4 linked regions of the Neodiprion lecontei genome follow. The protein of the gene in region 3 interacts with the protein of the main gene of each other region in a biochemical or structural test. Links are inferred from orthologs where the notes say so. Each region holds a gene or a part of one and is shown on either strand. Other genes may lie near its edges. The genes, in order: ubiquitin carboxyl-terminal hydrolase 47, peroxiredoxin-2, polyubiquitin-A and putative pre-mRNA-splicing factor ATP-dependent RNA helicase PRP1.

The links.
Region 1: the proteins of polyubiquitin-A (region 3) and ubiquitin carboxyl-terminal hydrolase 47 form a complex in vitro, tested with the Homo sapiens proteins (2 studies listed by BioGRID, with this or other methods). The link is inferred for Neodiprion lecontei from reciprocal best matches to the Homo sapiens genes UBC and USP47.
Region 2: the proteins of polyubiquitin-A (region 3) and peroxiredoxin-2 form a complex in vitro, tested with the Homo sapiens proteins (2 studies listed by BioGRID). The link is inferred for Neodiprion lecontei from reciprocal best matches to the Homo sapiens genes UBC and PRDX4.
Region 4: the proteins of polyubiquitin-A (region 3) and putative pre-mRNA-splicing factor ATP-dependent RNA helicase PRP1 form a complex in vitro, tested with the Homo sapiens proteins (2 studies listed by BioGRID). The link is inferred for Neodiprion lecontei from reciprocal best matches to the Homo sapiens genes UBC and DHX15.

Annotation. Positions count from the first base shown.
Region 1 is NC_060261.1:10,713,447-10,718,473, reverse strand, and holds the start of ubiquitin carboxyl-terminal hydrolase 47, read left to right. Parts: upstream 1-2,006; 5' UTR 2,007-2,120; intron 2,121-2,297; exon of another isoform or gene 2,298-2,316; intron 2,317-2,394; exon of another isoform or gene 2,395-2,529; intron 2,530-2,708; 5' UTR 2,709-2,792; intron 2,793-3,208; 5' UTR 3,209-3,241; coding exon 3,242-3,259; intron 3,260-4,916; exon of another isoform or gene 4,917-5,027. Other genes in the region: E3 ubiquitin-protein ligase RFWD3, read right to left, coding at 141-377, 676-685. UniProt on the Homo sapiens protein: Ubiquitin-specific protease that specifically deubiquitinates monoubiquitinated DNA polymerase beta (POLB), stabilizing POLB thereby playing a role in base-excision repair (BER). Acts as a regulator of cell growth and genome integrity.
Region 2 is NC_060260.1:4,635,754-4,639,982, forward strand, and holds peroxiredoxin-2, read left to right. Parts: upstream 1-1,904; 5' UTR 1,905-2,072; coding exon 2,073-2,238; intron 2,239-2,649; coding exon 2,650-2,767; intron 2,768-2,849; coding exon 2,850-3,089; exon of another isoform or gene 3,090-3,236; coding exon 3,237-3,402; intron 3,403-3,510; coding exon 3,511-3,564; 3' UTR 3,565-3,701; downstream 3,702-4,229. Other genes in the region: 39S ribosomal protein L32, mitochondrial, read right to left, coding at 23-277, 679-769; chromatin assembly factor 1 subunit B, read right to left, coding at 3,796-4,229. UniProt on the Homo sapiens protein: Thiol-specific peroxidase that catalyzes the reduction of hydrogen peroxide and organic hydroperoxides to water and alcohols, respectively.
Region 3 is NC_060262.1:18,755,682-18,760,716, reverse strand, and holds polyubiquitin-A, read right to left. Parts: upstream 3,310-5,035; 5' UTR 3,154-3,309; intron 2,751-3,153; 5' UTR 2,745-2,750; coding exon 684-2,744; 3' UTR 507-683; downstream 1-506.
Region 4 is NC_060264.1:26,638,455-26,646,102, reverse strand, and holds the start of putative pre-mRNA-splicing factor ATP-dependent RNA helicase PRP1, read right to left. Parts: upstream 6,003-7,648; 5' UTR 5,872-6,002; coding exon 5,822-5,871; intron 5,652-5,821; exon of another isoform or gene 5,522-5,651; intron 5,366-5,521; coding exon 5,016-5,365; intron 4,433-5,015; coding exon 3,738-4,432; intron 3,637-3,737; coding exon 3,406-3,636; intron 3,332-3,405; coding exon 3,112-3,331; intron 2,820-3,111; coding exon 2,697-2,819; intron 2,399-2,696; coding exon 2,208-2,398; intron 2,004-2,207; coding exon 1,841-2,003; intron 1,741-1,840; coding exon 1,613-1,740; 3' UTR 1-1,612.

The sequences.
Region 1 (5,027 bases), on a different chromosome or scaffold from region 3:
GGGGCTATAATTATCTGGACCTTGAATCAATGTCAAATATTTCATATGACTTTGAGATGTCAAAGGAAACATGACTTGATACTATGATGAAACAATATGTAAGTGCTTACTGCACCTTTGAATATTACTAAATAACTCACCAATTTCGAGAAGCTCTTCGTTATTGTTGTTTGCTTGTGGTTTTTGGAAAATTGGTACATTCTCTTCCCCTTGTACAGATCGAAAGGTTATTGGTTCACTATGCTCAATAACCTGAGCTTCTTGGTCTGTCTCTGGTTCTGATATGTGTACCACTTCCCGTATAGGAGTGTTGACACGATTATCAGGAGCCAGGATTACTGGCTCATCTGCTTCTTGAACCTCCATCTCTTCTTCATCTAACATAATCAATATTCAATTAATAATAAGAATTGGATTATAAGTGTACATCAAGCTCGATGTTGAATGATAGCTGCGTGCAAGTGTTTCCTCAAAATCTTTGCCATTTTTTGATCAACTGTGTCTGTGAATAGTAATTTAATCGATGGTTAATCGTTTGCTGACAAGACAGGGTGAAACAAATTAAAGCATATAAATGAGGCAGAAAACAGTATCAGATGTGGGGTAAACGGTTAACGGTAAATTTAAAGGGCTTATTCCTTGGAAACGGAAAGAGAAAGATAAAAATCAACTCACTGTTTTCCATTTTTAACGAAGTCGGACAGGTTATACATTTAGAAGAAGAGATGAAGGTGCAATGCGGGATTAGCAATGGTTGAAACTTGAAATTAACAACAAAAAAGCGGTGATCATAGTAGGTAATTGGAAAAATATCACGTTTATACTTTTTTACCGAACCATCGATGTTGCCAAAGGACTTATGACTTGGTTTCACTCCTTTGGAGTGCTCACTTATTTACGCTCCGTTCTGTTAGGGTCGGTGTCCTAGTGAGAACAAACGGGAAATCGGAAATCTTCTCAATCTGCTTAATCTCATCGGTAAACAGTCAACGCGTCTTTCAACATCAATCGGTATTTGGCTAACAGCCTGTGTTAATTAAATATCCTTGAGTGTCAGCAACCGATGGCGGTTAATGGCGGTCGAATCTGCCTCCAATAATTGTAGGTAGAGTATCGCGATGACCCACGTTGATTGGCCACTCATTGAATCTACTTCGAATATTGGCGCTAATTTTTGACAACCTTAAATTTTAGGACTTTCAGAATTTTACAGTTTGCATCTTGCAACTTTTAATCAATAATATTCTTTTTCACAACTTTACACTTTGTTCGAACGTTGTAAGGGAAAACTTGCGGGATATGAATAATCGTTAGAAGATCGTCTCGTTAGAATGTTACAACACCAGAATGCAGGGTTCTTTCCCTTTTTATTGAGTTGTACGCTCGCAACTATGCTGCAAAGAAGTGTTTTTACATAAACTTTGCATCGCTTGCAAATATATTCTTAAGTCAACACCATGATCCTTGCTATTTTTAATTTTCTTCTATAAATGTACGCTTTGCATGGCTTTCGACTTTTTCCTATCGAGCTCTCTGGGAATCGTATGTTTTGCGAAGTCATAATAAGCCACAATTGATTGTAATAAAATATAGTTGGTAAATTATTTGTGAACAGAACGAACTTTTGAATTACCCAAGGCTGGCTCATTTGTGCTTAGACGATTACTGAAAACTGGGTTTTGTGTCTTTCGGGATTGCGTGCTAAATGGCTCTCGCCGATGAAAAAGCTACCGTATCACCAACACGGTTTCTTATGGCCCCGGGCCTACCCAGGGCCCACTGAGACCCACTTACCCGCGGACTGGTTACGCAAAGTTATTTGTCACATGGATTCTTTGGAAATTCTGCGATTTTGCAATATCTGCGAATCATTTAAGAGGTTCCCGCAATGCATTTTTAACAAATTCAAAGATCGCCGGCTAACTTCACATAGTATCTTGCCGAACTTCAAAAAGCGTGACTCTAAGCGGTTATCTCAACAATTTGTAGTCAATGCTTGTTCCGTGGTAGCTTGATCCAAGCTAGGTCCACGGACTTGCTAGGCCATGAAAAGAAAAAATTAAATTAAAAAAAAAGAAATATGGCGTAACGTGATTGCTACACATGTGTCAGTGAATTCGGTAAGTGATTTTTTGACGATAGTTTATACTCGGTGCAAGCGTAAAAACGTATTCCTCGCAATAGGACTCACTGCGCAATTATTTTTACCGAGTATAAAGATTTTCTCATTTTAAATAGTTACATAACTTCACGGTAAAATCATGTTCAGGACGCATATTTCTGACGTCGGTTGTTCAGCCATTTGAGAGAAACTTTGTAATAAACATTTTCTCGTTACTCTATTACCTCCTTTTCTTTTTTCTCAAATTCTTTTCATTTCATTTTCAAACTCACCTTGCTGTACGAATACGTAATCTTTTTTTCACAACATCTGCCTAATTACGTAAGACTAGTTATACGGAATTTGATTTGAAGGAATATAAATACCGGCGTCTTCACAACGTCGAATCTACTTTTGCTCACTTGTTCTACTGGCACGCAATCTCCCCGATCTTACGCCTTCAGATTTCCTTCATTATTTTTAATATTTATTTATTCACTTAACGTAAAAATAAATTAGCAGCCCCTACTTGCCAACTACCATGACGTATATATCTACATACATTCGACGTAACCTTGTTGGTTTTTTCTTTTTTCTCTTCCTACAGATCTCAAGCAGCTTCAGCGCATTACCAAAGGTTGAAATCGATTCAAATATTTTCACTATCACCAAGAGAGAAAGGAAAGACTAGGTGAGATTTGCCTTCTTTGAAACCTTTTCAGTAAAACTAAGCACTGTAAAGCATGTTCACTCTCCTCCATAACCTGTTAACAATGTGACGAGATTCTTTTGTTGCCGTCGATCGAGACAGGAGATTCGAATAGCCATCGAAAGGTATCCAATTGCGATGATTGTCCCTAGATTTCAGAGTTGAGTGTTGGAAGTAAGAGACCTAGAAATTTTGCTTTTTCATAATCATTTAATGTCCTGTGCATTTATTTGATGGTTACTATTTGGCTATTTATTTGGTGGTATGTAATTCAAGATTAGATTTTTGAGTGATTAAACATTGAAGTATGTATTTTTGTACTTGTTTTCTATATTTCGTTTGCTTGTTATCACCTATTTTTGTGTACCTAATGATTCAATAGTACGAATTTATTGTAGATACCTATATGACGTATTTATTACATCACAAGGATGACCGTGGATTTTGATGTAAGTAGTAATTAACTACGGGATATTTGAAAATCTTGTCACATCGTCCATACTTATTTACATGTCGTAAAAGAAAAAGAAATGAAAATTTCATTTACACTATTGACCAGTTGCTCAAGACTTCCACTAAATCCACTGAAATTCAGTTTAAGAGAAAATATAACCACTTGATACTGTTTTTCAAACATTATTTACATAAATTTAGATTTCAACAAGCTTCTACAGATGATTTCGCATTACAAAATTGAGAAAGCAGATATTATTTCCTGTTTTTATACTGAGAAAAGAGTCAAGAAAACATTATTAACAAAAACGTATATTAAGAGGGTTTGAAAACCTTGAAAACAGAAATTTATCAAGTAATTTTACAATTTGTGCAAAATTTTTTTATGTAACAGGAGGATTTAATTTTTGTGACGGAGTGTTGGCAAAGTCTGGAAATCGGTGCCTTGAGTTTTGTGGCCATCCTTGTAGCGTATCTGCATGAAAATAGTTATATGCTTATGCCTCTGTTACACTTTTTCTACGACAATGTAGCAATTTAACTATTCTAAAATGCTAGTACTTGATTTTTCAGTTTCTATGTCATCACTTGTTGTTAGGAAAACTTACGGCGAAATGAACTAATCTCCCTTCAGCAAATTATAGTACGGGTCTCTTATTCAGAGTACTTTACTAGAAAGAAAAGTTAACAGTTTAGAAAAGTTGCTTGTTTATAAAACACTTCCATCAGAAGTTTGAATATGCAAAGGAATGAGATAATTTCAATGAATCAATACAGATATGTAAGATATGAATTTTCAAAATATTGAAATTCGATCTTATCAAAACTCTTCGGTATTTTATCTATCACTAACCGACGTACATTATCAGATTCTCATGTTTACAGTAAGTGTATTCAGATAATGCCGATAATCAGTTAATCCATGAATTTGAGCCCAACCGGCTCAATGATTTTCAAGATATCGAATTCCGAGTTCGGAAATGCAGATCCGACTCCACTAGTAGCAGACATAGTTTATTAAATTGATTTTCACTGTAGTATTTTTCACAATTTGACCATCCTTGTAATTAATCAGTAATGTGTCTGTGTTCATCGGTTGTGATTTTGAACCTATAGCATATGAAGAAAAAAAACAGATTTCACTGTATCCAGGGCTGATAACTTCTGTAACAGAATTTCGCACCATCCTGTTGTCTTTAAAAAAATTGCAAATATCAGGTACTGACATGCATGCACAGGTTTTATTCTTCTTCATTTCCACCGATAATATTCCTTTTCCATCCGATTTATTGATTTTAATGAAAATATTTGATGCAAAATGAACAAAGACTCGTCACAGGTTTTGCGAATCAGTTTGCCCTCATATTCCCAGATAATTATCTCGTCAATATGTATGTACAGAAATATATATATTAGCCGAGATAAATATACATAGTGCGGAAAGTTTGGGGTGACGATGAGGACGATTACACAACTCGAAAAACAACTATCCAACAACAGTGTAAGAGAGGCTTAGGTATTAGTGTGCTTGTGAAGGCGAGTAAAAGCAATGCGCAGTGTAAATATGTGAAGGGGAGGTGGTACTGATCTCAGAGAAGAGAGCCATTTTCAAACTCTTGGTTTAGATCAGCTAAATATAGCTGCAGGGTGTATAGGCTCCTGTAGTCTACCTTGCTCTGCAGAGCAGCGATATCCCACTCCATCACACAGATCTCGCTGATTTTCTACCTTCACCATGGCGAGCTGCCAAATTTTGTCTGCCTG
Region 2 (4,229 bases), on a different chromosome or scaffold from region 3:
GGGAATATATCATCTTACTCACTGCAAAGAATACCAGCTTCGTGATCGTGTCCACATGTGTGACAAGTCAAAATGTTTGTTTTCGGTGACAACAATTTCGAAATATACTTAGGGTTTCCAAAGCGTCGTTTCCATCTTTTTTCAATTGTTCGCTTATGTGTGGGAACACCCCACAGAAAACCATTATCAATAATATTCTCTATGGAAAATGGACTTCTTCGAGGGATCGGCTGCGGCCAATTTTGCCCCTCATTCAATTCGACGACACATAACGCTTCTGAAATTATTAATGATCTATTGGTACAGACAATACAATCGACTCCGAGCTATTTTGAATTATGATAGTCAGACCTCCATGCACACCAAAATCATACATAATCTGTTATTTACAAATTGACTGATTATACTTTTCATGGAGTGAAACCCATGACAATCATCTCGGACATGTAGCCAACAAACGCACGTCACTAACAGCTTATTTATTTACAGGCATTCATTCATTCGGATATTTTGTCCGAGATTTTGTCACCGGCTGAACGCTCCGATATAGTTTCACGTGAAATAGAGCTTCCAGGTTAAGACGGGCAAAAAGTGAGGTTGGAATATCGGTATTTTCATTGTTAGGCCTCGACACGACCCTCCTAACTTTGAGAAAAAGGATAATAGTAACTTCCGTACCTGGAGGAAATCTCCGACTCAGAATATTCACAATTATGTTATCAAATCTCTGTAAAGCAATCTGAACGCGATTTACCAGGCCGGACGCCATGTTTCTAGTCGCAAGTATTACTTCGTGATTCCGATATTCGATACTCGACACGAACAAAACAACCCAGATCGATCAGCTGGACTCGATATTCGAGCTATTATATTTTCGCGTCAAATGTGAGATCATAAACGAATAACGATTGTTATATTGAAAATACGCACGACACTTTGAGCTCTGGAATGAATCGCATAATACGTTAGAAGTTACTTATGACCCAATGGAGGCGACGATTAATCACAAACGATTTTTTCCTACCCGTCGTTAATGCAGCGGATCAAAAAACCAGCAATAACCTAACCGCGTTATAATGAGTGGCGTTTTGCAGGAGACTTGGACAATATTATTCTGCGTCGGAATCGTCGTATTGAACATGTACTACCACGTTTATTATTCAGATCCCAGTTTATTCGGAAATGCTTTGTACGTTCCGCATACTGCCGCGCTCACGGCGTCCGCAGGGATCGTCCTCAATGACAATGCAAGTAAATATAACGATGTTTCGATTGGAACACATTGATTTTTGATATTCTGCAGACCTTGCTCGACAGCCTGAAATAGGAACCACGAGACAAGAATATATACATGCAGTGTATTTTTAATAACAAAGACATGAGTAATGAGGGGAAAACTAATTGTGAAGATTTTCATGGATTTCCACACCTCAAAATGAACCCTAAACAATCTCGCACGTGATTAGTTGACGATCTAAGACGGCCTTATGTTCCAGGCACGCGATTGGTTCTTAGAGATGCCTGAGCAAGAGCATTACTCGTGTCAGGAACGCACCCTAATCATGTTGTATCGTGAATCCACATAAGAGAAATGCATGCGCGCGATTTCAGTATAATCGCGTACCAAATTCAAATATAGGAAGTATTTCAAAATCTAATAACGAACATTCTTGTGACGCTGAAAGCCGCAGTTTGAATTACACAGAATTGGATAGATCAATTTGTTACAGTAATCCTCAGATAACTTGGGAGTAACGGGTATTATCGATACTGAACTGTTGTCATTATTCAGTGACCACCAATCGGGTTTCTCCCTTCGTCGTGCGTAGGATGCATGCTTCCAATCTTCAATGCGTCACATGGAAAGCGGGCTTACGACTTTGGATTCGCGTATTCCTTTTTTGTTGATTCGTAGGTCAAGCGCGAAGCGGCGGACGGCGACGCCGGGGCGCTGTTTTTTTTCGAAGCGGGTTTTAAGAAACAAGTAAGATTAAAAAAGTGGGCGTATAGATTAGAACGAGAGAATAAAGTGGAGCGTTGTAACAAGTGCGTACGTGCAGAATCGTTCGAAGATGCGGCTACTGATTATTCTCGTTACAATCGCATTTTCGTGCTTTGTTACGAAAAGTGAGGGCTTATTCGGTGAGGATGAAGCGTGTTACTCGTTCGCTGGTGGCACCGTATATCCAACCGGTACCAAACACGCGGGTCACCAGTTGCAGACAACTCAAGCAGTCAGTGAGTTGAGCGAAATATTTTTATTTGTTGGGGCCGAAAATTCATTAGCGAATTTATCTTCATGTCTTTCCTAAAACTGGCGAGAATAATGCGATGAGAAATCAAGGAAATGTCACGACATTGAATACTTGATAGTTATTGATATCAGCAAAAAAGTACAGTTATCTTCTTTACGAGAATTCAATCTCGTTTTCCTCAATTCATCTCAATATGGGACTTTTGAATACCAACCATTTGAAATTGTAATTTATTACACCTTATTGACAATATTAACAGCAGGTGTATTAAATTCGTATCATCATCTTATCTAATCTCTGATTAGGTGGTGGGATTAGCACTGATTCCAATACATATTGACCTGTTTCTTGTAAAAAAAAAATCTAAATTAACCATGCGTACCGTTTGTTTCAGTTGGAAAACAAGCACCGTTCTGGGAAGGTACGGCTGTTCTTGGAGGCGAATTTAAAGAAATTAAGCTCACGGATTACAAGGGAAAATATTTAGTATTTTTTTTTTATCCGTTGGATTTGTAAGTTCACAGTCTCTGGAATGGGAATGAAATTTTTTTTTTTAAATTTACCGACATTTATTTAGATTTTCTGAATTTTCAGCACCTTTGTTTGCCCCACGGAAATTCTTGCTTTTTCGGATCGATTAAATGAATTTAAGAAATTGAACACTGAGGTCATTGCTGCATCTGTTGACTCACAGTTCACTCACCTCGCCTGGATAAACACGCCTAGAAAGGAAGGAGGTCTTGAAAATATTAAAATTCCCTTGCTTTCCGATCTCACTCATAAGATATCAAAGGATTATGGAGTTTACTTGGAAGATCTTGGACATACTTTGAGGTAACGTGATCACACATTTGAGGCTTTACTTCGCAACCTGTAAAGGTAGTTTGACTTATTTATTTATTTTTTTTTCATGTTTGTTTTTATGTTTCATATAAAAATGCAAATGACGTATCGCCAAATATTTTTTCATTCTATTTACAGAGCTCTTTTCATCATCGATGGTAAAGGAGTACTGCGCCAAATTACAATGAATGATCTCCCTGTCGGACGATCAGTCGATGAAACTTTGAGGCTCGTACAAGCATTCCAATATACAGATGAACACGGTGAAGTTTGCCCGGCTGGCTGGAAACCAGGACAAGACACGGTAAGTATCAGAATATTGAGGCAATTTGGTACCTGCAGTACTGTATTTGTTAATTTTTACACACGTAAGTAACGACTCTTATTAACGAACATGATTTTTGTATTTCAGATCATTCCGAATCCGGTGGATAAGAAGAAATTCTTTGCGAAAAATCTCAACTGATTAATTATCATGCTGATTATATTGCATATTTTTTCATAATTTCAAGAAATAAAAAAATCTACCCTTGATTAACTACATTTGTAACAACGAAATCTTTTACTTGCTCAAAATTAGCATAATAAACTATTTGGATTGAAGTTTTTTAATGACGTACTGAAGATTCACGACACTGTCGTTGATTGGATGTTGTTCTTGAAAGATACGTGTGTATATATTACCTAAATTTAACGGTCAATTCTTCTTCCCACTTCTCGGACTGGAGAGTGTGATAAGCTGTACCCTACGCGGAGTTTTAGCTGCTATCACATTAGGAACTATTGGTTTTGGAGGTGTTTTTTTAACAATGTCACTTATATTTTCTGTGTTACTTTCTTCTGTGTAAACAAGTTTTATATCTTCCGTCTCTTCAAGAACTACGTCATCAACATCTGTCGACTTTGTATTTTGGACGTTTTTCACAAGTTTATCATCTTTATTACCATTATTCGCCTCTTCGCTAAAGTCAGATGCTTTCACAGGTTTCGTAATGTCAATATCCATTGCGTCACTGCACATATCAATAATGAATTCAGTCTTCTCGGCATTATTAGTCTTACGCTTTGATTTGGATGAATTTGAATGCACAGATTTCGTTTCTGTCGTGTCATTTATGTTTACCAAACTAG
Region 3 (5,035 bases):
AAATTTGGAGCTTAAAAATTTGACACCATGTTTTAATTGTTATTCGATGTTGGAATAAAATAGCACCGAAATCCCTAATCAATATTCCCGATGTTGCAGTTATCGAAGTTATGAGCATTCGTCGAAACCTATATCGTTGATTAGAGATAATATAAAGTCAACGGAAATCTATATTTTGCAATTTCTCCACTGAGTTTTCAAGAGTTGAGTTTCCAAAGTATGAGTATATTTGAATTAATTAATGAATATGTCAGTCAATCAAAGTAGTAAATGACAATCTTAATCCTAAAAATGAGTAGCTTCATGTCATCAACTTGATGCTCATCAATAATAAATAATAATACCATGTAAATCAAACGACCTGTACTTGATGTATTACTCAGTTTATTGAATAAGCGAAAAATAAAAATCAGTTTATATACAATAAAAAAAAGGAAACCAAATACTGAAATGAAAACAACAGTAAGTATTAAGAGTTCAGTAGGGAAGGAATGAATGCATAATAGTCACATTTTAAACTGAATTCTTTATTAGATGCTGAAGCATAAATCAATATTATCACATTTTGGTGAAAGCACTATTATTGGGTAAAGTAAAAAAAATTCAATAACGCTATCAATACTATCAATTTTTCATTTAGATCATATCAGCGAGATCAGATATTGGAATTTTCCAGCTTGACTTTAGAGAGATCCACCACGGAGCCGAAGAACCAGATGAAGAGTAGACTCCTTCTGAATGTTGTAGTCTGAAAGGGTACGCCCATCTTCCAGCTGTTTCCCTGCGAATATTAACCTCTGCTGGTCTGGAGGAATTCCTTCTTTGTCTTGGATTTTGGCCTTGACATTTTCAATTGTGTCAGACGCCTCAACCTCCAAGGTGATAGTTTTGCCGGTCAAGGTTTTGACAAAGATCTGCATACCGCCACGTAGTCGGAGAACTAGATGAAGGGTGGACTCCTTTTGAATATTATAGTCGGAAAGAGTACGCCCATCTTCCAGCTGTTTTCCAGCAAAAATTAATCTCTGCTGGTCTGGTGGGATTCCCTCCTTGTCTTGAATTTTTGCTTTCACGTTCTCTATTGTATCAGATGCCTCGACTTCCAAAGTAATTGTCTTTCCAGTAAGAGTTTTGACAAAAATTTGCATACCTCCACGCAGCCTTAAAACCAGATGTAAGGTTGATTCCTTTTGAATGTTGTAGTCAGACAAGGTTCGTCCATCTTCAAGCTGCTTTCCAGCAAAGATGAGTCGCTGTTGGTCTGGTGGAATGCCTTCTTTGTCTTGGATTTTTGCTTTTACGTTCTCAATTGTGTCGGAGGCCTCGACTTCCAAGGTAATGGTTTTGCCAGTAAGAGTCTTCACAAAAATTTGCATCCCTCCTCGCAGCCGAAGGACAAGGTGCAGGGTGGATTCTTTTTGGATGTTGTAGTCCGAAAGAGTGCGGCCATCTTCGAGTTGTTTTCCAGCAAAGATCAAACGCTGCTGGTCTGGAGGAATTCCCTCTTTGTCCTGAATTTTAGCCTTCACATTCTCAATAGTGTCCGAAGCCTCAACCTCCAAAGTGATTGTCTTTCCAGTTAATGTTTTGACAAAAATTTGCATCCCACCACGTAGTCGGAGAACCAAGTGAAGAGTAGATTCTTTCTGGATATTGTAGTCTGATAAGGTCCGTCCGTCTTCAAGCTGCTTGCCAGCAAAGATCAAACGCTGCTGGTCTGGAGGAATTCCCTCCTTGTCTTGAATTTTCGCCTTTACATTTTCAATAGTGTCGGAGGCCTCAACTTCCAACGTGATGGTTTTGCCAGTGAGAGTCTTAACGAAAATTTGCATTCCACCTCTCAGTCGAAGAACTAAATGTAAGGTGGATTCTTTTTGAATATTGTAGTCCGACAAAGTACGTCCGTCTTCAAGCTGCTTGCCGGCGAAAATCAAACGCTGCTGATCTGGAGGAATTCCCTCTTTGTCTTGAATCTTTGCCTTTACATTTTCAATAGTGTCGGAGGCCTCGACTTCCAACGTGATGGTTTTGCCAGTTAGGGTCTTGACAAAGATTTGCATACCTCCGCGGAGACGAAGGACAAGATGAAGAGTTGATTCTTTCTGGATGTTGTAATCAGAAAGCGTACGGCCATCCTCAAGCTGTTTGCCGGCAAAGATCAACCTCTGCTGGTCTGGTGGGATTCCCTCCTTGTCTTGAATTTTCGCCTTCACGTTTTCAATTGTGTCCGAAGCCTCTACTTCAAGGGTAATAGTTTTGCCAGTTAAGGTCTTGACGAAGATCTGCATACCTCCGCGGAGACGAAGGACCAGATGAAGAGTAGATTCCTTCTGGATGTTATAATCGGAAAGAGTGCGGCCATCCTCGAGCTGTTTTCCGGCAAAGATTAATCTCTGCTGGTCTGGTGGGATTCCCTCTTTGTCCTGGATCTTTGCTTTCACATTTTCAATCGTGTCAGAAGCCTCAACTTCAAGGGTGATGGTTTTGCCAGTTAAGGTCTTCACGAAGATCTGCATACCTCCGCGAAGACGAAGGACTAGATGGAGGGTGGATTCCTTTTGGATGTTATAATCGGAAAGGGTGCGGCCATCTTCGAGCTGTTTTCCTGCAAAGATCAATCTCTGCTGGTCTGGTGGAATTCCCTCTTTGTCCTGAATCTTGGCCTTCACATTTTCGATCGTATCAGATGCTTCAACTTCGAGGGTGATGGTCTTCCCCGTCAAGGTCTTGACAAAAATCTGCATGTTTATCTGAAACGACGAAAACACGATGTAAGAACGGTGTCGTCTGATTGATGAGTGCTGGGTGGATGGCGTGGATCAATAAGTTTGGCAGTTTTCACAAAATGGCGGACAGCGCAACAACGGAATTGAGGGCGAAAATCGATTAAATCTAAAACTTTCGAGAGCTGATAGGAAAAACTTGGAAATCAGTTTAATCCGTGAAGAAATACTAAACGCAGTAATAATAGTGACGAGTTGAAGTAGTACCGTTAGGTTTGAGACCTGCAGATTCTGATCAATGATGGAAAACTAATGGCGACATGTCGACAAAGGACGGTTGTGAAACAAAGCCGTGAACAAAGGAGGCAGTACAGTTTTCCACACCAAAGAAAAACTCGGGGAAGGAATTGAACGGATATTTGATATTTACCTGTTGTGAAACTTATTAATAACGCGATTAAATGCAACGCAAAAACTGCACTATTAATGACTTCGAATAGACTGCTCGTACAAACTCGGCGTCAGCTTCGTAACTAAATATCTGGGCCACCCTGCATCTGGCATTTATAGACACCCGAGCCAATGGAGAAGAAACGCGTGATTGGTGCGAACGAACCTGCGCGGACGTTCCTATTGGCTGAAATTCAGCTGCGTCACGTACCTTGAACTAACGTCGACGAATCTCATTGGTTTGTGGAACAAAGCGATCTCTAGAATATTCTTTGCTCACTGTGAGTAAAAATACCTTATCTACCATTAAATTGATGCGGTATCTGGAACGTGCTCGTTTTTATGATTAAAATATTTGTTTGACCACTGCGAATTTCACAAAGTATAAGCGGAGTAACCGAAACTCTTTTTACATTTTCTTGATATTGGTCTTTCGTTGCTGGAGACCAGATGGCACCATAAGGCACAAACTCAAGGATAGTTACGTTAAAAATGTCCGAAACACATAAACTATCAGCTGCTGTTCATTTGTTTGAACAAAAGAATGTTCTTCATTTTTCAACGCAAACGTTGACGTTTTTGATGAAACGAGCGCATAATTTACCGTACAACAGTATAATACATTTAGATGATAACACATTGTAAAGCGGTTCATTTAGCAGCACCTATAAATTTACAATGTGCATATGTTACAAGATCTTTATATTATCTCGGATGCATTCAATAATGCTGTTCCCCAAAAATGCTGACAAAGTTTGTAGTCTAGAAATTCGACAAGCATTGAATAGTAACCAATTAAAAATTTCTCGCATCGATGAGAGTTTTTTGGTTGGTCACATTTTATCGAAACTGACGCAACATTCGAGGTGTCGATGTAAATTGTGTTGTGTGTCATAGACCGCGAACCTTTTTTCATGTTCATTTCGATGCAATCCATGAGTCATTTTTACATCGAGCATCTTTTCGAAAAAATAGATAACATTATTTATTCCGTGTTATAAACTTGGTTACGACCATGGCAACGACGCAAATAATGTTGACCTACAATCTTGTTGACCAATGTCGAGCAATAGACATTCGCGGAAATGTTTACATTCGCATGGTTATTATTAGTAAACTAGAGCTTTTCTCCCAGTCTACTGTAAGCGTGCTATTTCTCCCCGAGGTTTCACGTCGTAAATTGATGCATACGCAGGTAAAAAAAATTACGACACTATGTTTTTTTCGCAAAAAGCTTTGAAAATACAAATTTACCTTAATTAATCACTCTTGGCAGAAGAGTTTTAGAATACATGAAATCCCAAAACACGTTCAGTAGGTGATAACACGAGATACGACAAAGTCGACTAGGATTCATTTCATATCATTTACGATCTTTCTTTATCGCATTAATAAGAAGGACCTACATATTACATTCGAAATAATTTTTTCAAGTCATCTCATTTCTGTGTCAAACTGAAATTGTGATTCATGTGTCGTAATCAATACATGCGTCAGCGGAAATTACTATGAAAGCGCCCATTAATTACCCATCGCAATACAACGGACGTTAGATATATGGCCCTGCCGAGGGGCGAGAGTAGAGGAAAATTTCTGCGAAATAATTAATTGCTAAAAGCTCGCGCTGCTGGTGTCGAAAGCGAGAGCCACGTGGAGTGGGGGGTGACTGTATACGCATCGGAATAGGGAAATGACTGTACTAACTGTACATGTGTTCGATGTGCATGTGTTACATACGATTTTCATGTGTAGCGCTACAAGTTGTTGACAAGTTTACAACAACCTGATAATATTTACTTATGCAGAATGTCGAAAACAACGTTATCGAACCGAAGATAAGAGACCACTAAATTAAGCACACA
Region 4 (7,648 bases), on a different chromosome or scaffold from region 3:
GACGAGTTTTAAAACCTCATCATCCTTTGAGCACGACTTAGTTGAACATCATTAAAACGTGCACAAGTAAAAACCATGAAATTGAAATAAGAATGATAAAAATGCATAAATGTTACAGGTATACTTCGTTTTATTGGAATGAAGTGATACAGCATAATGAAACGCTATTATATGTACAAAATTTGAAAAAAGCGACCCATCATCTGGCGTCAAACACGTAAAACATCATTAGTTACATTACCGTAATAATGTATTTTTTCAACTCATGGTGGTTAGTAGTTTCTTTTTTTTTTTTATTGCGTAAAAGAGAAAATATCGATCTTAACAATGCGAATGTACCCTATCCATGGAAAGGTGTACGAGTGCATTGAAAATACTCAATAAACTCTAATCACCGTTCCCAAGCGGTTAAAATAATTACTTATACAAATTCGAACGGGGTGTAGACTCGTGGTATTACGGTAATATACGTTGATGTACATAGGTAAGTAATTGAATTGAAAAGTAACTCATTATGATCAATTATACACATACGCGCTAAACTGTGTCAGCTAAAGCTTTTTCTATCCTAACGTGAAGTCACGTTTCAACGAAAAAACAGTCTGCACTCCTGGTGTTAGTTTTTTTTTTCCAAATTTCAAAGTAGTTTTTAACTTATTTTTAAGAAATGAAATCTCTATTACATCAACAATCATTAATCAACATTGAACGAATAACTTGACACAATATTTCCGTTCCTTGTGTTTTATTAATTTTTTTGTTCTCTGAAAATTTTCCTGTGCTTCTGTCAGTAATACAGAGCGAAACAACGGAAACTTCAATACAGACCACAGCCATTATTATTATAAATGTGTTATGACGAACAGTCACCAACGTGTAGCAATTTTTCAAGTGGAATAGTGAGCTAAATAGTAATTCAATAAAATTTATTCGTTACTTCAATTTGGGTAGGTATAAAACAGTATACACAAAGGGTGGTGAGGTATCCTATAATAAATGGATCACAAAATTGGTCGATGTGATCACGTACTCACTTTTTGGGTACAGTCGACAACTTGATTTTGCGTTTCAAAGGGGATAGTGACAAGAAAAGTAACTAACAATAACATTTGTTTCGTTAAATATCCGAACTGATAGATAGTAAGTTATTATTTATAGTGCAGTGGTGTGTGTCGGTAAGGTATATCAACTTTGGCTACATACATTATGAACGACCCTATCAACAATTTCTCTTCTGTTTGTAATTGTATTTTCCTTTTAAAACTATCAAACAGCTACGCTTTTTTGAAATTGTATAAATTAAGCCCACTGGTACTTAGGGTTGGATGTAACATCCAGCGGTTGATGGATTTAAGTATCCTGACGATTTATCCTGAGCAATAGGATAAACATCGAGTTTATAAGTCCTTCAGCATGAATATCATTGCCAATTATGAGAATAACGTTTATGTTGTAACAGGAGATGAACTTGGCCTAAGATCGTTTGAAAAATTGCTTTACCTCTATTTCGGTTTTTTTTTAATGAATAAAAAAAAAGAGTTTACATGCTCGAAGGACTGGGCTGGTCACAGCCGTTGTTAGTGATTGGTAACGTGGCTAAAAGCGAACAACGTTAGAAGCCTTCTTGATACTGTTTCGAATCTAGTCGCGTTTGAATACCTTCAAGCTGTCTTTTAGCTTCGCATTGAGGGAAGTTCTGCAAATCGTAGTATTGGGGTGCGATTTTAAGTAACCAATCGGCTGAAATGAATATGCATACATTGTTAGAATATTCGGTGTTTCGGTTTTTTTCTATTTCATTGAAGAAAAAAAAAAGAAAGTTTTTTACAATGGTACTCACGTTTTATGTCTGTTACTGTCCTGATGTAATTTTTTGTCGTAAGCACGAATTCGTTGTAGATTACCCACTCAGGTTTATGGTCAAGGCAACTGCTCGGATGTAATTGCACAACCTGATTGTCTTTTATTGTAAGATAGTGTCCCGTCCTTTCTAAATGTGCAACCTGGTATAAAAAAAAAGATCACAATTCATTATTATTCATTAATCTTTGTCATTTTCCGCTTAAAAGTGATTTACTCTCATAAGACCAAATCAGTGGGAAGCTAGAATCAAGCTTCTTGTCTGAACAATTTTTCATTCATATATTAAAAAGAGACGCATCAACACAAGTAGAGTAATACTCTTACAAATGTTTTCGATTTCTTACCTGCATGAAGAATCCGTTGACCAATGCTTTTCTGATGTTTATGTAATAGTCTTTGGACGTGAAATCGGTTGACGTACGTTTTAAACTGAACCTGTCCATGATCCTACTTAATTGCTGTCTAACGTTATCTCCACTCTTAAGTGATCGATAGTTCACAAAATGCTCATAACACCATTGCGGATCTTCCATATCTGAAAATTATTAAATTTCTGTGTTAACACTCATAGTTCAAATTTTTTATGTTTCAGAAAAACCATAATTGAAAAATCACAGCCATATTTTATGCGAGTGCCAAGAAATTACACAAACACAGAGATGAGGAATGAATCATCAATTTTGAAAAGTCATTCAATTAGTAACAAAAGCTTTAAACACTCAATCACGTCATAGATTTACACTATGAGAAAAGGCTGCAATTGATTTTAGAATTGTTGAATATTGTACTGTAGCACACTTGTCCTCGTAAATGACATTAATTTTTTTACTTACTCTGTTTAAAGGCATGATATACATTAAGAAGAGTCAGATGATCGCCATCGATATGCGCGAACCGCATTTTTGAGTCATCTGCAGCTTTCTTAGCCTCGTTTGGTCTCACAAAACACTGTGGGACTAATACCATGTCAATTGTCAATACATAACCATGTTACCTCACCACCATCCTAACTTGAATCTACTGTAAATTGCCAGCTTTCAATACATTTTATATTTTCTTACTATAGACTATAACTGATTTAGCGCTTTAAATAAGGAAGACACATGAAAATGTCTGAACAACATCCTCGACTATGGGGAATTTCTTATTTTCTGAACTTTGGAGCTGACGTTAAGCTAAATAAGAGAGATGTTAGAAAATTATGTGAATCTAAAATTAAAATGGAATCAACAAACCCCAATACAGTACCTGAAAGCATCGCGGTGATGCTGAGTATTTCATTACTGCAGTTATGGTTACATGAAGCTATTAACATTTTTGCCAGCTGAGGGTCGAGCGGAAATTCAGCCATAACTGCACCTAGGTCTGTTAAATTTCCGTCGTCATCAAGCGCCGCCAAGTAGTTGAGCAGCTCCAGTGCTCTCATAAGTGTTTCAGGCGCTGGAGGATCCATGAAGTCAAAATGAACCTGTAAAATTCAAATTTTGATTCAAATAATTGTTCATTTCATTTTATTAACAGTAAAAGAATCGCACTACTTACCAGATCATCAATTCCAAGCTTTTTCAATTGCAAAACAACACTGCCGAGATTTGAACGAAGAATTTCTGGATACGTGTTGTCCTGCATCTCATTTTTGTATGCTCTTTCTGTATAAAGCCGAAAACATTTCCCTGGACGAGTTCGACCTGCTCTACCAGCTCGCTGTTGCGCAGATGCTTTACTGATTGGCGATACCAACAAAGATTCTACGCGAATTCTCGGATTATAGACCTGTGGTAAGTGATACCATTTTCGTTAGAATATTCGGATTTAGCTTGTCATTTTTCAATACATATCAACATTGTAATTTCTGTGGGTGACGAAATAACTACCTTTTGCTTCGCAAACCCTGGATCAATGACAAAAACAACACCATCAATGGTCAATGAAGTTTCTGCAATATTTGTGGACACTACAACTTTTCTTCCAATAGCTCCGTTGGGTTTAGTAGGTGGAGCGGGTTCGAATATTCTTTGCTGAAGATTCGGTGGAAGTGTAGAATATAAAGGGATGCATTTCAGCTCTCCAACTTCAGGTCCTAGATTGTCCATTTCTCTCTTGATTCTCTTACAAGCTTCCTCGATCTCCTCCTGTCCAGTCAAAAATAAGAGAAGGTCGCCAGCCACTTCTTCGCACATGTGAATCTGTATTACTGTTCTAATTGCAGCCTCCAAATAATCCCTTTCTGGTTCTGGTGTGTAAAATATCTCTACAGGATGCGTTCGACCAGGAACGTTCATCAATGGTGCATTATCAAAGTACTGTTGAAATTTTCCTGCGTCTAGAGTCGCACTCATTATAACCAGTTTCAGATCTGGACGCTGTTTCACAACTTCTTTTAAAACTCCCATCAATAAATCTGTCGCCAGTGTTCTTTCATGAGCCTCATCTAATAAGATTACTTGATACGCTTCGAGCATGGGGTCAGACATCCCTTCTCGAAGCAGCATACCATCCGTCATGTACTTAAGCACAGTATTTGCAGAGCTGCAGTCCTCAAAACGGATGCTGTAGCCTACCTCTTGACCTGCAAAAAGGTAACGAAATTATTTGAATAAAGTATAGCACTCGATGATTCAATTTATAAATTTTGCCCATTTCACTTTTTCATTTTGCAGCCCCGGTACTATTTGTCTGGCCCGGAAAATTTGGCTCTTATGGAAAAGGGTACTACAATTTTGGATCAGGACAGAACTGAGATAATGCTCTAAAAGTGATCTTCTAAGTGTATTGAAAATTATGGATTGATGTTGACTTTGTTTAAGCCTTCCCTTAGTCCATGGGGCCATATACAGGCATGTATTTCATGCTTTAATAACACTTGTTGCGATATTGAATAAAATTGTCAAGAAGGACACGATGGTACTTTTTCGCATGTTTATCTAGTCCTATGAAAAAATAACCTTTCACTTTTACCAAGAAGCACGGTATTATCTTTAACATCAACTTGGCCATATTAGAAACAATTGCGTGAATATTTGTATGATAGTCCTTGAATTATTATTAAATTTTGTGATTCGATTGCAATAATGAGGCATAATTCGACGCATAAAAATATGTTGTGTGACTGATTTCATCAATAATAATCATATTAATTTTAATCTGTGTACCCAAAGCGACATCCATTTCTTCTGACACCCTCTGGGCAACTGACATGGCAGCTACTCTTCTCGGCTGAGTACAAGCCACAGCTTTCGGACCCATAGATCTTGAGTATTCGACACACCATTGCGGTATCTGAGTAGTTTTACCAGATCCAGTTTCACCAACTAAGACAATGCATTGATGCAGCGCTAAGAGCCTCATGAAGTCTGTTCTATACTCGAATACTGGAAGAGTTATTCTCTTCTTATAAAATTCATGATAACGTGGCGTATATGGAAGACCGGTATATGGGTTATGCTGAACTTGATTTTTGGCCGCCGTTGAAGTTGGCATGTTATTGGCGACTGTTCCATCTCTGTTAAGAAGTAAGACAACATTTATTTTAACAATCACTGTCACGTTGTTTTATAACTGAAACAATTTAAGGTTAGGAGTTACCAGTAAAGCATCAAGATGAACAATGAGTGAATTTATTGTGAATAATAAGCATACATAGTTTTAAATAAATTACATCAAATCCAAGTTGAGCACCTTTGCTGTAGTTCTTACAGGTATGTATGTACTGTATGTATATAAAACATTACTTGCTAATATAGAAGTTCGAATGGAACTAAAGATATCGTGGAATACAGTTAAAAATATTCAGAATGATGGGTGAAAAAGTTGAGGCAAAAATATGTGTATATATGTGAATAGATGTAAAATTAGATTTTGGTAATGAGAAGGATCGCGATGGAATTTTAACAATGCACATGGCAAGATTTAGTCTTCCAGTTGTTTAACCGAGGTGATAGATGTGCTAGTTACTTACTTCTTTCGTTTGATATATGGATCCACCACTTCAATCCTCCGCTTAGACATCGTGTGATCTTTATTTAAATGTCTAATTTAAACGAGTATACTGTTTACAAATTATTTATGTATGTACACGCAAAGCAGCGTCACAAAATGGCAAAACCAGCGGACATCCGAAGTCAGTGCCTTACTGATCATTAAAAATCTCTCGGCAGTTTTTGCGGCAAGTCCGCGGATAAGACGATACTCCTAGATCTAGCTGGCTGTGGACCAACTAATTAATTCGAATTGTCCGTATCACCAATTGGTAGGTATATACCTATATAAATTAAATATATATATACCCGTGTGTGTGTGTGGTGTGTGCAATATACACACTGGCTATTAATAATTCAATAGGTGAAAAGTATGTTTAAAAGTAAACAAAAAAATTAAGGTACTTGACGCCGACAGGCTACATTATGGGTGCGTTCCTAGCTCCCAGCGCTGTCGACGATCCTTTATCTCTTTTGCACTGCTGAGTTCGTGGGTGGCTTTGCCTCTGTCAAAGGGAGTTTGTTAACGCTGCCAGCTAATTTCGGAACGCATCCTAAACTAGAGTTGTGGCGTCATAGGCCTGCGTCAAGCTATATTTTCAGAGTGTCAAATTGACGCGAATAGCACTACGACGTCGCAGGAAAAGTTGCCCCTGAAAATGCCGCACGTCAAAACCCACGTGATTAGGTCAACGGACCTCAATAACATTTCTATTCGCAGATTTAAGAAATCTAGGATTACTAATTGCAAGTGTGAAAAAATGGTGAAAATGAAGAAGCAAGATGAAGTAGCTCATAGCGTGTTCTGACTGCGCGCAATTTATTCCTCTCGCAAAATTACGTCGATATAGTGCATCAAAGAATTCATGCAACTATTTTTCAAAATAGGCCAAATTTCGACCGTCTAAATACAAAAGGGTATAGCCTTGCTTGTTTGCGATTTTCAGAGCTCGGAAAATTTTCGTCTTACAATCAGAATCTGTTCAAAAGCCCTTTCTGGACTAATTGGACCCCAAGGACTGCATGCAAAAAAGGTATTTATTGGAGCATCGTAGGATCAACACAAGCTGAGAATATACGGAAAAATATGATGAAACTTATTTTGGTATTATTCATTTTATTCTAAGTTACATGCAATAGTAACAATACAATATCATACATCTCGCATCCTGCACAGGTGCATTGCCCCTACACACAGGTTGGAACTTAAATTGCGTACACAAACTACCTTAATTACTATCTCATACAGCATTGCTCATATTCTGCTTCGTGGCTTAAATGCAATGTATTTCGCAGAATTTTCCCCTTACTTGTATCGTCGACTGAGAATGTATAAAGTCTGATAATCTGGGATATTTTCACTGATATATATTAATACCTATATCAGTGGTTATTTTGCGTAACAGTTTGCCGGGTCGGGTCGGTTTGAGAGTATTAGCAGTTTCCCGTATTATCAACCAATTAGCAACTGACCACGCCGGTGAAAGAAGTGCCTCATAACCTACACTATCGCCTGCAAAACGTTGGTAACATACCTTCGTCATAGTGAAGTTGAAAATTTGACAAAATCTTGTTCAAGAAATGTCTGTTATGAGTGGTCCGGGAATTCATACTTCGCCTGACGTCGCATATTACGGCAAAGCTCTAAACATATTTTGATCGCGTTGCGCGTAGCTTACGTGGTGTTTTCACCCGGCCGTTGAGACCATAGGGATACATAAAATAAAGCATAAACAACGGGCTAAGCGTCCCGTCAACGGATTCGAATCGGTTCTCTAAAGGACAGAAGATAATAATTCTTCCGCCCT